Linked DNA regions of Nothobranchius furzeri. The protein of the gene in region 1 purifies or fractionates together with the protein of each later gene. This does not show direct contact. Links are inferred from orthologs where the notes say so. Each region holds a gene or a part of one and is shown in the gene's direction. Other genes may lie near its edges.

The links. Proteins that work in one complex are often made in the same cells at the same time.
Region 2: the proteins of cdk13 (region 1) and cdc37 purify together in Homo sapiens (affinity purification with mass spectrometry; 3 studies listed by BioGRID and IntAct, with this or other methods). This does not show direct contact. The link is inferred for Nothobranchius furzeri from reciprocal best matches to the Homo sapiens genes CDK13 and CDC37.

What each region holds. Positions count from the first base shown.
Region 1 is NC_091747.1:43,581,469-43,586,128, reverse strand, and holds the start of cdk13 (cyclin-dependent kinase 13), read left to right. Parts: upstream 1-1,655; 5' UTR 1,656-1,870; coding exon 1,871-3,015; intron 3,016-3,667; coding exon 3,668-4,228; intron 4,229-4,301; coding exon 4,302-4,454; intron 4,455-4,527; coding exon 4,528-4,660. UniProt on the Homo sapiens protein: Cyclin-dependent kinase which displays CTD kinase activity and is required for RNA splicing.
Region 2 is NC_091745.1:3,433,219-3,437,945, forward strand, and holds the end of cdc37 (hsp90 co-chaperone Cdc37), read left to right. Parts: coding exon 1-14; intron 15-251; coding exon 252-527; intron 528-939; coding exon 940-1,045; intron 1,046-1,134; coding exon 1,135-1,250; intron 1,251-1,346; coding exon 1,347-1,469; intron 1,470-1,633; coding exon 1,634-1,816; intron 1,817-2,568; coding exon 2,569-2,640; intron 2,641-2,733; coding exon 2,734-2,874; 3' UTR 2,875-3,686; downstream 3,687-4,727. UniProt on the Homo sapiens protein: Co-chaperone that binds to numerous kinases and promotes their interaction with the Hsp90 complex, resulting in stabilization and promotion of their activity. Inhibits HSP90AA1 ATPase activity.

The sequences.
Region 1 (4,660 bases):
TGGTCCCTTGCATAAACGAAAGCCTTGTGAATTGATCTCTGTGGGAAAATCAGCTCTCTTGTTCTCCTGTTCAGGAACTAGAAGGTTGACAGAAGAGGTGAGCAGAAGACAGCTGGTTTTGAAGCCTTATTTTCTGATATTCAGATATCTCACCTCTGATTGTTTAACACCAACACAACTCTACCATGGACTCGGTTTGCTCTGCAATGTTAATGTTTTATCGCCACAAATAACTCAAGCCTGAAAGAGTTGTGATGTGATGGAGATGCTAATGCTGATGGATAGGAGTCCATGAATGCAAATTTTCAACGTGAGGCAGAATTAACTGACTTTTCTAATCCAAGCGTTTACCCAGCAATGTTCTATCAGCGGCTAATGCTGGAAATAAGGGTATAGATGTTCATGTTCAGCCTGCATGTGACCGATCATAATTAAAAAAATAAGTACAAAACGGTAAAGTCTCTTTATTATCCTTGTTGTCACAGCAGCAACAACATTCATTAAAAGAGCAAAAACGGAGCGTAAAAAGTAAGAATAAAGAGTGAATGACAACAAACAAACAGAAGTATTTTATGTAAAACACTCAAGGATTAAAAATGCAAAGATACAGTATAAACACATTTTAAGGAATAAAAAGATTTTAAAAAATTAGACATAAGTAACAAATATCACTGATGTGTTTCTTATTTCAAAATTACTTGCTCGTGTATAACTTGGTTATTGTTATTGCAGATTCTGTGTTTATGCAAAATGAAAAGGTTCAATAATACATATAGATGGGCACATTTGCCGTCATTTTTTAATAATTGTTGAGTTTGGCCCGCAACTTCGTCCCAGTTTTTCGTTTCGGCCGAGTTCGAATTCGAGTTTGACGGCCCTGTTGTAGAGTGACCAAATACCTAAAGCTTTAAGAAAAAAGGGTTCTTTGTGTTCTATTTTGAAGGTGAGGGTTTCCCTTCGTCATGACGTATCCTCTGATCGGAATGACGCAGGCTGCTCCTATTGGTTTACGTCGACGCACGAGGCCTGTAGTTTGAAAGCTGCACGGGCCTTGAAAGCTGTACTGTTAGCAACATTACGAACAAAGTTATACTATTTTGAAATAAATCCAAGATATCTTGTAGTCAGTTTGCGGCAAGACGACAGCTACGTTAAGGGGAATGTTGTCAACACACGGAACGGAAGTCCGGCGGGATGCAAGACCAGAGAGGCGTCTTTGAATGGGAAGTTTTTCGTGACTGACTTGCCTGGAACTCTACGCAAGGAGAAAGGAAAGCTAGCTGGCTAAGTTGCTAGCGGGTAGCTAGCGGCAAAGTTGCGTGCTATTCACTTCCTTGTTGCACATTGGATTTTAATGGATGGCGAGAAGTTTACGTGGACAAGAGCTTTTGTTCGTTTTTGGACATTTTAATACTGCCTGATAAATGGATTAAAAGCCTCTCGTGAGCTGTTATATTTGGGTAGAATGGTGTTTTAAAAGATTCGGTGCTGATCCGGGCCTCATGAAATGGAATCAGACTCCGTAACCGTTAGCTAGCTTCACTGATTAGCTGTGGCTAACAAATCCGTCCTGGAATGCAATGGTTTAGTATGGACTGCCTCTATAACATAGCACCTCATTTGTAACGGAGTGTGGTGGAGTCTTTTGTCGCCAAGTGTCACTACTTTGTGTGGGAGCTCATTTGTGCTCGCTTTGTCATGGAAATGTATAGCTAATATCTTGCTAACGAACTGATTGTGCTGAGAAGTTGGCTAACTTAGCCACCTAGCCCAATGTTCTGTTCAACGACACAACAAGGGACATAGTTTACGTAATTCTCAACGTACAACTAGTCAGAACTTCGTCATTGATTTTCTATTTCAAGAATAAATGCCTAACTCGGAGGTGCTTCGAGAGGGTCGGAGACGAAGCCCCTCTGGGCAGCGGAATGCTAACAGGCAGGACAGACGGAGTAAACCGGGGAGCGGTGCCGCTCAGCGAGACAGGCACCGGGAAAAGAGGCGCTTGTCGGCGTCTCGGAGGAAGAAACGCAGGCAAGCCAGGAATAGAAACTTGTGGCCAGCTGGCACAACAGGAGACATCGAGAATGATCGAAGTAACGCTTTTGAAAAGGAGCTTGAACTTCGGACACTAGTAGAGTATGACGACGTGAGCTCCCAGTCGGAGCGTTTCTCTGGAAGCCCCTCTCCTAAATCCTACCCTCATGCGGACAGCCTGTCAGTGGATCAGCTTAGCGATGCTGACTTTGGGGAGTATAATGGACCATCATCCCCTGACAGAGGTCGCCTGGGAGGCCGAGAGGCAGTTTGCCTCCGTAAAGACGCCATAACAAGAGTACCATGTGCTAAGAGGAAACAAGAAAAGGTGGTAGGGAAGAAAAAGGAGCGTCAAAGTCGTGAGAAAGAGCCTTCCAAAGTCAGGAGCGGGGGTAACCTGAGCACCTCTAAAAACCACAGAGACACTGGAAAGAGCAGTGACAAAAACAGTAAGAGGACTTCTGCAGCCCAGGCCTCCCAATCTGGAGATAAAAAGGACTCAAAAAGACACAAAAGTAAAACAAGATCTGACAAAGAGCCCCCATCTGCCTACAGAGATGCTTTACAGTCTTACAGAGAAGAACGAGAGGATCCGAGGTCCTACAGGAGAAGTCCTGCTCCTAAAACTGAAAGTCCCTATGGGACATCCTATTCATGCAGCTACCAGTCTCCTGGTGGGTATAACCAGATATCTAGAAGAAGTCCAACTTATGGGAGTAAAAGAGCTTCTCCCAGTTCCACGTACTACAGCCGGGACATAGATGTGTATGGAGCGTATGGTGCTTCCAAGTCACCCAGCTCGTACTCCAGCAACAAGAGGAAGAGGTCCCCAACAAGCCCAGCCAACTGGCGAAGGTCACCAAGTTATGGTCGACACAGTCCGTATGAACAAGGAGAGTTCGTCTCAAGTCCTTATAAAAGCCGCAGGAGATCTCGCAGTCCTTATCGGAAGTCGCTGAGCCCAAGTCCCGATGTCAGGTAAGATCAGACGGGTTTCTGTTGAGATAACTCGGGACGCGCTGAACATCTGTCTGGGTTTGGTGCCGTTTTACTCAGTTCCAACACTTCACTCACCAGCTGCCTAGTTAAATAAAAGACAAAAACTAATCGGCTTCTAAAAAAACTTGTGGGGTTTGACACCCATCTACCTCCAGCCTGCTGCTGGAGCTATTTATTCTTTAATATTTGTTCTTGTGTTACGTGATAATGTTGGGTTATTTGCCTTTTTGTTTTTGTAATTATTACATTTTTGCTTTTGTACAAGGCCCGTGGTGTTAGAACAGAGCAGCAGCAGCTGAGTGACAAACATCACACTGCTGCAGTGGCTTGTTTATTTTTAAAATTCCCCCCAGTCAGCATTACTTCTGAGTGGAAGCCTAAATACAGATTTTTAAAAAATATTTTTTTGCAAAATTGGATTGCACAATAATTTTGTTCAGCAAAAAAAAACCACACATTACATTTTTTTGTGATCAGTTTGAAAGGAAAAGATTAATCAGAATAGTCTTATCAGCTCTGTGAGTCTATTATATCCCTCCTAGTCCGTCACGGGCCCTAAAGTTAGCGGACGAACCCAAGCGCCTCTTCGTGTGTTTTTATCATAACTGAGTTTGTGTTGCTTCCTGTCCAGGCGAAGGTCACGTAGCAGAAGTCCATATACAACCTCAAGGCCTTCACGCTCTCACAGCCGCCATCGCCACTCCCGTTCCCGCAGCCGCCCCTCCAGTCTTTCGCCGAGCACGCTCACGTTCAAATCCAGCCTCGCCGCTGAGCTCAGCAAGCAGAAGAAGGTTAAAGCTGCCGAGGCAGCGGCCAAAGCCAAGAATGCGAGCAACACGTTGACTCCAACCGAGGGTTCCTCATCGGTTCCTCAGCCCAGCCCTAAACTAAACCACACATCCAGGAAGGGACGTCCCCCCTCACCACCTCAACAAGAGAAGGGCCCCAGAACTCCCCCCTTGTGCCAGCCTCAGTCCCCTGCTAACAAGGTGTCCAAGAGGACCACGGAGCACCAGAACAGTAGGGACAGAGATGGGAAAGGGAGGGATGACTCCGTACACAGGGACAAGAGGAAAGCAGCAGCATCTGTGCAGAGCAAGGACAAGGATCGAACCACCGCTCCGGTTATTTCTACTCTGCTGTCGCTGCCGTTGCCCCCAGCAGCTGCTGAACACTCGGAGAAGGGAGACAGGTATGAATATCCCGATCACACGTGTGTTTTTGTGGTTCTTTATCAGTCATCGTTCTCATGCGCCCTCAAACAGCTTAAAGGACATCTCAGGAAAAAAGAAGATAGAGAGGAAGGCTCGTCAGCTCCTGGCGGACCTGCCGCTGCCCCCCGAGCTTCCTAGCGGCACGTCGTCCCCTCACAGTCCTCCTGAAGACAAAAAGTCCCAGACGCCTCGTCGAAGACCCAAGTAGGTTTTAATAATTCTCTACAGCCCCTTTTCTTCTCTTGGCCTCATTAAAATGTTTGCTTTTCATTTCTAGAATCTGTGGCCCAAGATTTGGTGAGATCAAAGAAACTGAGATCTACTGGGGGAAGCGGTGTGTGGACAAGTTTGAGATCATTGGAATCACGGGGGAAGGCACCTACGGTCAGGTGTACAAAGCTAAAGACAAA
Region 2 (4,727 bases), on another chromosome or scaffold:
GATGGAGACACCAGGTACCTTTTTGATTTATAACGTGACTGAGTTTTGATTTTCTTTTAACTTCGGACTGGTACTTTGGTTAGCTGGCGTCCTAGACTCAGTTTGGTGTTGCAAACAACATTCTCCCTATGCTAATTCCTAGCAAACCTGTTTATGTAGCTGTAGTGAATTACTAAGCCTACAAAACTTGTAACAAAGTGTATTGTAAAAGTTTTGTACCTCCAGTTGTGATTGGCATCATCCCATTTCAGGCACGTGTGGATCGAATGGAAGAGTTCCAGAAAAAAGGAGAAGACATCAACAAGAGCCTGAAAGAATGTCGGCGCAAGCTGACTGAGACGCAAAAGAAACTGCAAGAGCTAAATGTGTCGGGTGAGGCCAAAGCAGAGCTGAGCAAAGTCCAGGCTGAGGAGAAGAAATTGAAAAAGGAGGAGAGAGATTGGGAGAGGAAGTTGGATGAATACAACAGAGAGGAGAAGAAGATGCCGTGGAACGTGGACACACTCAGCAGAGATGGTTTCAGCAAGGTGACTAGGATCAGGCAACAGCTTACTGCGAAATAGAAAGTATTGGTTTGCATCCACTGGTATCAATGTTGGCAGACCTGTCAATTTATAATCAATAGTTGTCTCAGCGGTTTGATGGCAATATTTTTTTCCCCCAATTTCATGTTTAAAATCAGTCTAGTTTGATGCTCAGCATGAATGTTGGTCATTTTTTTGTTGGGAGTAGCTTGTATACAATCTCCTGAAAATACAAACTAAAATCATCCTTTAATTGTAAATAAACATAATCAAGGTTTATATGAAGTGTGTTATTTTTGAATATTTAGAGCTTATATACAACATTCTAACATGCCGTTAACTTACAGAACGATGCAATAAAATGCATTTGAATGCAGTCGTCATCTATTAACGGTGTTTTGTTTGTCTTCATTAGAGCATTGTTAACGTCAAACCAGACCCTTCTGAAGAGACAGAAGAGGAGAAGGAGCAAAAACATAAAACTTTTGTGGAGAAGAACGAAAAGCAGCTCAAACATTTTGGTAAGCCCGCCTGACAACCATGATTAAAATGAGCAAATCAGTAGGACAGTAAAAATAGAGATGCTGATTTGTCGCTGTGGTAACCTCAGGCATGCTGCGACGCTGGGATGACAGCCAGAAGTACCTCTCTGACAATCCTCATCTTGTATGTGAAGAAACTGCCAACTACCTTGTCATCATGTGTATTGACCTTGAAGTTGAGGAGGTAAACAGCTTAAAAGAAATCTCGTGCTACTATTGTATGTCTTACATGGTCACTGTCTGATTAGAACATGAGCCTCTGTGCCTCTTCGTTTTGCAGAAACATGCTCTGATGGAACAGGTGGCTCATCAGACCATCGTTATGCAGTTCATTCTTGAGTTGGCCAAAAGCCTCAAACTGGACCCCCGTGGTTGCTTTCGCCAGTTTTTTGCAAAGATCAAGGTAATTATTACGTGTTTGGACTTTTGTATTACATACGTTTTTAAGGGGATACTTTTTTAAAAAGTAAAATTATATCTATTCTTGTTTGTTTTGATGAAGTTTCTGAAAACACTCCATGTTGGAAGTGCTTTCATGTTACTTTTCTTGTATGTTTATTCACCCAGACAGCAGACCAGCAGTACCAGGATGCTTTCAACGATGAGCTGGAGTCATTCAAGGAGCGAGTCCGTGGAAGAGCCAAGATCCGCATCGAAAAGGCCATTAAAGAGTATGAAGAAGAAGAACGACAGAAACGCATGGGTCCTGGGGGACTAGACCCCGCGGAGGTGTACGAGTCCCTTCCACCTGTAAGTGAATGTGTTAACCATATTTCTGATGTCGCTGTTTTACCTGCGTTGTAATACAGAGTGTTTTTAATTATATGAGATGCAGAAATGATTTGATGGGAAGGACATTCAGATAGAATAGAGTTTATTAATTCCACAGTGGGGAAATGAACGTACTACAGCAACACATCCACTTAGAGAACAGGAAGTAGAAAAGTAATAAGATTACAGGTAAACACACAGAGGCAGTAAGCTAACCTTCAACCACTAAAAACAACAAATGAAAAGAAACTTGGGTTTCCAGAACGTTGCAGCATAGGGGACACACACATGCTAATGTGAATCAGGTATTGCACAAGTATTGAACACACACTGAATATTGCATTGGTGTTATTGTGTACCAGGATCATGCCAGTATCAGTTAAACTGAGGAGCTACACGCTCTTACTGCAGAGGGGGTGAACATGCTGTAAAGACTCTGACACTAGTCAGTGACTTGATGCAATTTGCAGGGTTCCTTATATAGGAAACTTTTTACTGATTGGTTTAATGAACTGACCTGTATTGGAATGTTTACAATGTGAAATGCCTTGAGACAATTCTTGTCATGATTTGGCGCTTTGTAAATAAACTTGAATTGGTCCTGAGGAAGGGTGGTGGTGTTGAGTGGTGTGACATTTGGAGGTGGGGGAGAGTGGCTGACTGAGTGACAAATGACATATTTCTGATGTCACTGTTTTACCTGTGTTGTAATAAAGTGTGTTTAATTGTAGGAGATGCAGAAATGTTTTGATGAGAAGGACATCCAGATGCTACAGGATGTTATTAGCAAAATGGACCCGACGGTAGGTTATTCTTATGTTGTTGATTAGGTTTGTTATATATTGACATTATTTGACTGAAATTGCAATTTATTGTGATTCTTTCTCACAATTTAGGAGGCAAAGCTTCACATGAAGAGATGCATTGACTCAGGACTCTGGGTCCCAAATGCTAAAGAAGCTGCTGGGGTTGAGAAAGAGGAAGAAGCCACTTATGAAGAGGTGAAACAGGAGCAGGGAGAAGATAAGACAGAGTGACAAGGAAACCCTTCTGGCTTACCCACTGTATGGTTAACAGCTTTTTATGTATGATTAGTTAGCTAATGGGTGAAATAACTTTCCTACACTGTTTAGTAAGATCGAAGGGAATGATGTTGACAGCAGGTTTTCAGTTGCCTCAGTGGCCCCTGAATCTGCTGCTTGTGTGTTTTGAACATCTCTGAACATCATGTATTTGTGTGAGTTTGTGTAGGTGTGTACGAACACACATCTATCTGACTGCTTTTTGTCTTCTCAGATCTGGCTTCTCATCTTTTTTTGTTTGTTTATTTTTGAAAATTCTAAATTTTTGTTGAGTTCTAGAGATTGCTAAATGTTTATTTTCTTTTTCTTTCTCTTATGTCACATTTTTACAGTCAATGTTTGGGGCACACACTTTTCTGATAATTAGACCACATCACCACCAAGATCTAAACACATTAATAAGTACTTTTACTGGTGAGTGAAAATGATTCATGCAGACTCTGTGACTAATCTGATGAGTAGGTGGTGGTTTAGACCTTTAGCGCCCCACATGATGCTCGGTATTATTCACAGAGAGCCCTCAGGGCCCAACAGTCTTTTTAAAATTCTACTTAATATGGCCTAAACTGAAATGTAATATTCTCAGTGTTTAGTCGTTTCCAGAATAAATAGAAAGCTGAAAACAGCCCAGCACTGTGCTCTGTTGTGATGGTTGGAGTTCACATTTGCATGTAGAAGCTGACAGTCGTGTGTAATGGTTAGGACACACAGCCTTTACGTTTGACTTTATTGTAAATGATTGAATAAAAACTGCTCATTGTAGATAAGGCAGTTGTTGTTTTCTTTGACTTGAGGCAGGGTTTGTTTTTCACATGTTCAAAGAACACCACCCACATGTACATCCAACCTTCTAAATAACATTTCCTTAGAATTTGACGAAATAATAACTGAAGCGATATTTCTGTGGTGTGGGGCCTCACAGGTGGCCAGTTCTTTAAACACGCAGTAAAAGAAAAGACATAAAAATTGTGACATCTACGATGAACAGATAACACACGTCTTCACTTGTTTGGCTTTCGTTGATATTTGAGTCACTTGCTACCTGGAGCACATGCACACCATTCAAACTTCCATTCAGAGCAGTGACATCAGCCACTTGTCCTGCCACCCAAATACTTCAGTATTCAGTTGTTGCTGAATTTGAATTACCACAGTGGAATGACCATTTTTGTTATAAGCAAGTGATGTGGCAACATTACTGATCAAAGACAGGTGACTGCCCTGGGCCACACACACTTTAGAGCCCTGCAAATAAACATTTAACAAAGATGCTTGTTTTTTTCCCCCTCCAAAATTAATGACGTCATCTGAAATGTCAGCATACTGCCTTATGTTCCAATGTCTCCTCTTGCCCAGCTACACGACTATTGCATGATCGCAGCGATGGAAGCAGGGCTGGATCATCATTGCAGGGGCCCCTGGGCACAATGTGCTTAGCGCCCTCCCTCACCCCACCCCCACCCCAGAAAGTACCTGTAGAGACATTGGATCACACACAAAGTTTACAGGTGCTGGCCAGTAAATTAGAATATCATCAAAAGGTTGAAAATATTTCAGTAATTCCATTCAAAACGTGAAACTTGTACATTATATTCATGCAATGCACACAGACCAATGTATTTCCAATGTTCATTACATTTAAATTTGATATTCATAAGTGACAACTAATGAAAACTCCAAATTTGGTATCTCAAAAAATTAGAATATTCTGAAAAGGCTGAATATAGAAGACACCTGCTGCCACTCTAATCAGCTGATTTACTCAAAACACCTGCAAAGGCCTTTAAAAGGTCCCTCAGTCTTGTTTT